Neodiprion lecontei: one gene and its partner. The protein of the gene in region 1 interacts with the protein of each later gene in a pairwise test. Links are inferred from orthologs where the notes say so. Each region holds a gene or a part of one and is shown on either strand. Other genes may lie near its edges. The genes, in order: raf homolog serine/threonine-protein kinase Raf and ras-related protein Rap1.

Region 1 (3,933 bases):
ATTATTTTTTTTTTTTTTTTTTTTTTGTGAATAGCTATAACATCTGGCCAGGTTTTAGGCTATATTTCGTTACAACCTGGTTTATAATTTTGTATACATAACGATATTTGTAAACCAAGGCGGACCGAGATCGCACACTTGTGTGAACGCTGACTAAACTCTTCCAGATAATACCACATTGCTATGTCTAATAATTTAGCTACAATAAGAATTTGAAAATATTAGCGGATGAACCCACACGACGGGCTGCTAATAAATAGATATATTAGTCACGGGAACGATCAAATTGAAAATGCTATTCACTATCGCATCGCATATACAATATACTACACACTGCAAATCTCTGACTGAAAAACTACAGGTATATAAATATATAAGTCGGTATCAGAAAAATCGGGGTTGCACCCCCGGAAATTATCCGGAAAGTTTAAAGTGTAATTCAAAATTATTTGGTTGAGATATTATTAAAAAACCAAAGAATCAGAAAGGAACTGGAGTCTTTTCACAAATTACGTGAAGAAACCGCGGTCAAACCTGACGCACGTATCCAAATTATATTGTACCGAATTAATCTGTTCTCGGATTTTGTCTGTAACGAAATTTTTTGCACATCGTCTTGTGATTATAATGGAATAAAAATTCAAGTTCCACGAACATAAAAGAATTGAAACGTGTATTTTTTTTTTATATTAACCGTGCATATAAATGCATGTCTTGGAATTTTCAACTAACCACAAACTCGACCGCTAATTTCTATGGAATTCTATTCTTTTTATCGACTATTCACGGTTCTCATTACTAAGCATCAACCGCGCATTGACATCCGTTCTGCTTTTAATTCTCAACGTTCGAATTGAACACAAACTCTAGATAGCAGATAAAAAAAGTAGTTAACAGTATTTCAGACAAACCAATTCTTGATATTATAGTATATTTCGATTGTTTTCCCTTTCAATATGAATTTCACCCGAGATCCACATTATAATATCCTAAATCGTTCATATTCTTCGCATAAAATGTTCACTTCCAAACGATTGTTTTTACAATTTCAATTCGTTTCAATCCATTTCAACCATAAATGTTGAATATTACGAAACTATTGGAACGACTACTGCAATATTATACGGATAGTTAAAGATTATAAAATAATGCATGGAAAAAGATTATTTCACGTCTTTAATCACGTGATTGACAATAAGCGAAATGAGGAATGTTATTCTCGTTCCGAACCCTCCTTCCGCCAGACATACTCTTCATAGGGTTGATACAAAATGATGTTTGAAAACCCGTCTAGTAATGAATTTTCGAAAACGGTATACACGTTATACCGTTGACGTGGAATGACCCATATACGTATCGGAGGCGCTGGACACACAGAACTCGGGAGTTTCCGTGTCGGTTCGGTTCGCCGTTCGGGTTCTGCGCAAGAGTTTAGAGTAATAAGGCAGCGAAAGCAGCCGCCGTTGACACTGGCCTATTGTTGAGTTTTTCAGAGTCTCGATTATCGTGCGACCCGCAATAATATAAATATTGTTTAAACAATCGTTGGCGCGTACTTAAATATAAAGTGACGGGTGTCGGGTGAAGTGATATCCAACGGTGCGTAATTATATCGCGTTAAAAGGTGAAGATATTGGCGGCCGAGCAGGGGGGGGGAGGAGGAGGAGGAGGAGGAGGTGGCGGAGAAGGAGGAAGATAGGCGGCTAAATTCGCAAGGCCATTTAGCTAAACACGATGTCGTCGCCGCCGACGTTCATTGCGAGGAAAACAAAACAACCTGCGTCAGGTGGGTCTCGTTAGAAAATGGCAGTTATTAGGGAAGTAAGATTCGTCCATGGTAGAGTACCGACGTTTTCGTACACGACACCGTCCCGTGGTAATGGTAATGACCATTCAAACACCATGTCGCAGGGATACTCAGGCAACAACGCCGATTTGAGTGATTTCGAAGACTGTTACCTCGAGACGGATCCCCTCAGATACGAGTTGAAAAATATCCAGAGTGTCATCCATGTCACGAGGCAGAACATCGATGCGCTCAATAACAAGTTCGCCGGCTTTCAACACCCGCCTCCGATCTACCTCACCGAGTATCAGGAACTCACCAGCAAGCTGCACGAGCTCGAATCCAAGGAACAGAAGCTCAACGAGCTCCTGAACTCTACCGCTAGTGTTAACATTGACTACGAGGTTCAGACACCATCCAGACAACCAGACCCGAGAACCCCGCTGAAGTCTTTGCTACGCGCTCATCTACCCAATCAGCAACGCACCAGCGTCCAAGTCAAAGAGGGACTTTCGCTCAGAGACGCCCTCGCCAAGGCGATGAAGCTGCGAAATCTTACGCCGGAAATGTGCGTGGTCTATGTAATAGGACACAACGATACCAAGATACCGATTCCCTGGGACACGGACATTTCGTCTTTGGAATGCGACGAGATATCGGTCGAGATATTGGATAAATTTCCTATAACGACTTCTATATCGCACAATTTTGCTAGAAAGACATTTTTCTCATTGGCGTTCTGCGAATTCTGTAGAAAACTTCTCTTTCAAGGATTCTATTGCCGGACTTGTAACTACAGATTTCATCAACGATGTGCCGGCGGTGTTCCGGCGCTGTGTCATCAGGTTCGCATGCAAGATGCTTACTACCAGGCTCTTCTGGCTCACAACCCCGAAACTACTGCTGGAATACTCCAACTTCCATCTGGCTATGGTCTAAGTCGAAGCATGTCTCCGTCTCTGGCTCCTGTCAGAAGTCACAGACATCCCAGAACCTTGGGGCAGCAAGATCGCTCCAGTTCCGCTCCCAATGTCTGCTTCAACATGGTTAAACCAGGGAGCGATCCCTCGTCTCTCGAGGATTACACCAGATCTCAAAGCCTGGGAAGGCCGGTTGGTAACACTCAGAGTCCGGTTTCACCTGGAAGCAGTCCGACCAAGCACAGTCAATCGACGCAGGCGAGTCCGACGAGTACGTTGAGGCCAAAACGGCCAAGGGCAAGGTCGGCTGACGAATCTTCGAAAAATTTATTGGCCCCCAGAGAGTCGATCGAAGACTGGGAGATTCCGGCCGATGAAATATTGGTGGGACCTCGCATCGGTTCAGGATCGTTCGGGACGGTGTACAAAGCTCATTGGCACGGTCCGGTGGCTGTGAAAACTTTGAACGTTAAAATTCCAACACTGGCTCAACTCCAGGCATTTAAAAATGAAGTTGCAGTGCTCAGGAAAACTCGTCATGTTAATATACTCCTGTTTATGGGTTGCGTCAGTAAACCCCAGCTCGCCATAGTAACTCAATGGTGCGAGGGATCGTCTTTGTACAAACACCTCCATGTTTTTGAATCCAAGTTTGAACTTTTGACACTTATTGAAATTGGCAGACAGACTGCACAGGGTATGGATTATCTACACGCAAAGAACATCATTCATCGGGATTTGAAGAGCAACAATATATTCTTGCACGATGACTTGACTGTGAAGATTGGTGATTTTGGACTGGCAACAGCGAAGACAAGGTGGTCTGGATCTCAGCAATTTCACCAACCGACTGGTTCCATTTTATGGATGGCACCCGAGGTTATCAGAATGCAGGAAGAAAATCCCTACAGTTATCAGTCCGACGTTTACGCTTTCGGAGTGGTACTTTTCGAACTGCTTACCGGACAGTTACCTTATTGTAACAATAACAACAAAGATCAAATTCTCTTCATGGTTGGGAGAGGCTACCTGCGTCCTGATTTGAACAAACTCAGATCGGACACTCCGAAGGCTTTGAAACGCCTGACGGAAGACTGTATAAAATTTTCCAGAGATGAAAGACCGATATTTAGACAAATTTTAGCTAGCTTGGAAGGTTTGATTCAGGGTTTGCCTAAGATAACCAGATCAGCTTCGGAACCAAATTTAAATCGAACTCAATTGCAG
Region 2 (3,933 bases), on another chromosome or scaffold:
CTGATTAACGGTAAGACCAAGAAACAAAAGACATTCGAACATTTGAATTTCTGTACAAATTAACGCAAGATCGCATGCACGAAGATCCGATACGTCTTCAAGTTTTATATTTCGCGGCATACGGAACTGCCAACTTAAAGAAAGTAAATTAATTTTCCGCACTCTCCATTGGCCGAGAGTGAGTAGAATTATTTGAGATTTTTGGCAGTTACCTCGAGTTTATAGCTCCGAAATAGGTAAAATCGACGCTCGTAGTGACGGAATAGAGCAAAAATTGCTGCTTAAACAGGTACGAAACAATATCCTGCTCGAATCTGGCGTTCCGGATGTCGTTCGGTGTGTGGCTGCGTATGACTAAGCGGTTGCGCTTACGTTGGTCGAATGGCTAGTGACGTCATCACATAAAAGCTGAGTGCCCATTGGGCTTGACCGACGTAAGGGAGCCCCCAATTGGCCGACGAAAGGTTACGAGAGAAGCTATCGGCGAACGTTCGTAGCGACGTGCCAATGGAAGACAGGGTGAGCGAGCGGCGACGAGCAGAGTAGGCATCGCCCTAGATAACGGTAGAATTGTGATTCGCCGGGCGTTACTTAAGGCCGTGTTATAAATTGATACGAACCGACAGAAGGAGTAAAACGTGCGGTGATATAGAGACTCTGTGGAATCGAATGATCCGTAAGAGAAAAAAAAAAACAACAAACTAGAGAATTTAAATTAACGAGTAAATGAACAAAGAAGTGTTGCGAGGAAAAAGAAAAAAGATACGGGATACAAAGAAAATAACAATAATAGTTAAAAAAAAAAAAAAACAACACAATTCAACAAGACTGTATAAAAGGTAAAATTAATTATTGTTATATGCTCGCGAGTTCGGCAGTAGTGCGGTGTGCGTGGAAAGGGTGCAGCATCGGCGACACGAGGCTTAGAGGGGAAGAAAATCTGTGAATGTAAAGTTGTAATAAAAGTTTCGTAGGAAGACTTTAAAGAGTTACGAACGAAAAAAAATAGAGAAAAGATATTCCTTCATTCGTGAACCGAGTATCAGTGTCACAACTCGACGACAATCTCGGTGTGCAATTGGTACGTACACCTACTCAACTGCCTGCCTGCCTACCTACCTACATCGTGACTCTGGGTAGTAGTGGGTATTTTCTCTCTCTACATGAAGTCATGGCGGTGTAGCAGCAGCAGCAACAGCAGCAGCAGCGGCGGCGGCGACGACAGAAGAAGGCAAAAGCGAACGACAGGAAACAACCGGAGAATCTAATCACAGTCAGACTTGGAAGTCGTTGCAACGAAATCGAAAACGGTGGACGTCGTAAAAAAACAAAATAAAACAACAACAACAACAACAATCATACACCATATATCGTAATTTCTACGGGAAATCAAGGATCCCCAGAGATACCAACCGCGAGATAGGCGTCAGGTATGTAACTAAGAAAATTACACACATCTACTTCATTCCGTCTCTCTTCGCTTATCTTCATCTCCGCACACAAGCGATGCATCAATTCATCCCTACACTGAAAACGCCCACAGTCCGAGCTCTCAAGTATCTTGTCGTATCTCATTTTAGCTCGACAGTCGATCCCATCCGCTTCCCTCTGGTCCTCTCACTATGCAACAAAAAACAAAAAGTTAATTCGCGAGTATTCGATAATCGGAATCGGATGAATAAAGGGAGAGAAAGCGAATTTTTCTTCTTCTGTCGTTTGTCGCATATCTAGGAATTTATTATCTACGATCACAGCAGCCGGATTTATCTTGCGTTTCGACCATCCATAGACTAAATACTTGATCCACATAACTGAGAGCGTTCCCTCCCTTCCTTTCAGTACCACGTTACCGATGTTCCTCTTTTTTTTGTTCTCTTCTGCTATTGCCCTTTTATTACTGTCAATCCTGTCAATTTCTTTCAATTAATCACGGTAACCAATCGCTTTTATCGGCGAACGAGGCTCGTTTTAAAATCGACCTATCGTACTGTCCACGATAAATAATTTATCAGTAATAATTTAGTCGGCTCTTTCACGTTACGAGGCGACATCTAGACATGCAATATATGGTTGTTGGTTGGCTTTACCGCAATTACGATCAGAACAAGTGACGACACGATTCAACTTACGGATACATACACTAAAAATAATCATAATCCTAATGTGACTCATATCATAAAACGCCGTACGCACGTATTATACGGTGTATCTATGCACGATGTAACACGAGCGTGTATAAACGTCATCCATTCCCCATCAGCGTCATCGCGGGACGAAAATCCTTCATGTGTTTAAGGGTCTTCGACACCCCCCCTCTGCACGTTGCGTGCATCACGGTCGTTCCTTAAATAAAATCAATTAACGTACTGCACATTTAATAATAGTACCACGCTTATACGGGCACTGATCTCGCACTCTCAAGATTACCTTCTACCCGATTTTTATAATTCACGTCGAATGATTTTCAAATATTCTTGACTGTTTCTCAGCTGTTACATACCTTCACACAGGTAACATAAAATCGAGTCACGAGAGCGGGAAATTTGAACTTGATAATAACTTCTCTTGAGATAAAATGCTAGTCATTTGTATAGACAGCATAGAATAATCTGTGTAATCGCACACGATTATATCATCGATGATTACACCGATCATGGAAATAAAATTCTTTCTTGCGTCATGCTTTTTAGACATCGATGTATCGATTGTATTTTTCTTCAACCTGGCGTCATAAACGAGGACTGTACGGGTCTCTCTACGACGTGTCTTGTTGCCAGTGTTTATCATGCAGGTTATTATTAAACGCAACCTCATTTACTCGTCCGTCAATATTGTACGTACTAATCTTAAACGTAAGTCGAATGAATATATAGTAAAATTTTTAAAGTTTTTAATGCACGTTATACAATGTAAAGAAAACTCGGCACGTTGTGTATGATTATTATATTATTCCATGGACTATTATCGGCTTCCAGCAGCAGGGGGAATACAATTAAAAATTAATTCACACAGCAACGAGAAGAAAGCAAACCACCCCTCATCCTGCAGAAAGGTACAACACGTATTGTGGGAGTAACATCGCGAAGTATACAGAAACAGTTGTACGTATACGTTACAAAATTATCAACTTGAAACCACTCGAGGGTGTATACATATGTACATATAGGTAGAGAGTCGTTACGTAAGTGATACCAATTATCCTTGGTGTGTGTAGGTATCTGGTTGAACTTAATCGACGAAACGATACACTCCATCTACTCAGTTTCGCCATTCTGGCAAACTGCAGGAAACAAGCAGCAACAAAGATAGAAAAAAAACACATTCCCTCGTAGATCTATTTCTGTACCATCTGTCATAATTCGTACTAATTTAAAGCGATTCGTCGATTTTCCGGTAATCCTTCGTACCAAAAACGGGGATAAACTCTACACAAAAATAATCGTTGCGCCTCCTCGAGCAGCATCAAATTTCAATCGATTATCCGAAGATTGATCTGTTATTGATTGATGTTTGTTTTTAAATCAGTAAACTTCAAGCGGTTGATATACTAGAAATAGTATTTAAATACACTTGTATAGAGATGGAGTTGTACCATTATTTAAACCTGAATTTTTATGAGTCTGAAACAACGGGATACGTTATGTCATAAAAATTTCTCTAAACGACTGAAACCGAGCATCCAGAAATATTCTATGCACAGATAAGGATATCGCATTACACAATAAAGCTAGTCGATGATGATATTATAACGATAAGAGTCGTCCGTACGTGTGTGCGTATGTTTTTCTTACATCAACCTATTTATCATAAACGATGTATAGTACGTTATAAGTTGCAAACGATTTATTAATTAGTTTAATTTTCGTTTTCTTTTCTTCTTTCGTTTCATCGACAAGAAACACACATGTGTTTCGAGTTGTTTTATCGGGGTTA

Evidence for each region.
Region 2: the proteins of raf homolog serine/threonine-protein kinase Raf (region 1) and ras-related protein Rap1 interact in a two-hybrid assay, tested with the Drosophila melanogaster proteins (2 studies listed by BioGRID). The link is inferred for Neodiprion lecontei from reciprocal best matches to the Drosophila melanogaster genes Raf and Rap1.

What each region holds. Positions count from the first base shown.
Region 1 is NC_060262.1:27,894,506-27,898,438, reverse strand, and holds the start of raf homolog serine/threonine-protein kinase Raf, read left to right. Parts: upstream 1-1,415; 5' UTR 1,416-1,803; coding exon 1,804-3,933.
Region 2 is NC_060264.1:31,048,936-31,052,868, forward strand, and holds the start of ras-related protein Rap1, read left to right. Parts: upstream 1-811; 5' UTR 812-1,430; intron 1,431-3,933. UniProt on the Drosophila melanogaster protein: Ras proteins bind GDP/GTP and possess intrinsic GTPase activity. Plays a role in photoreceptor cell determination.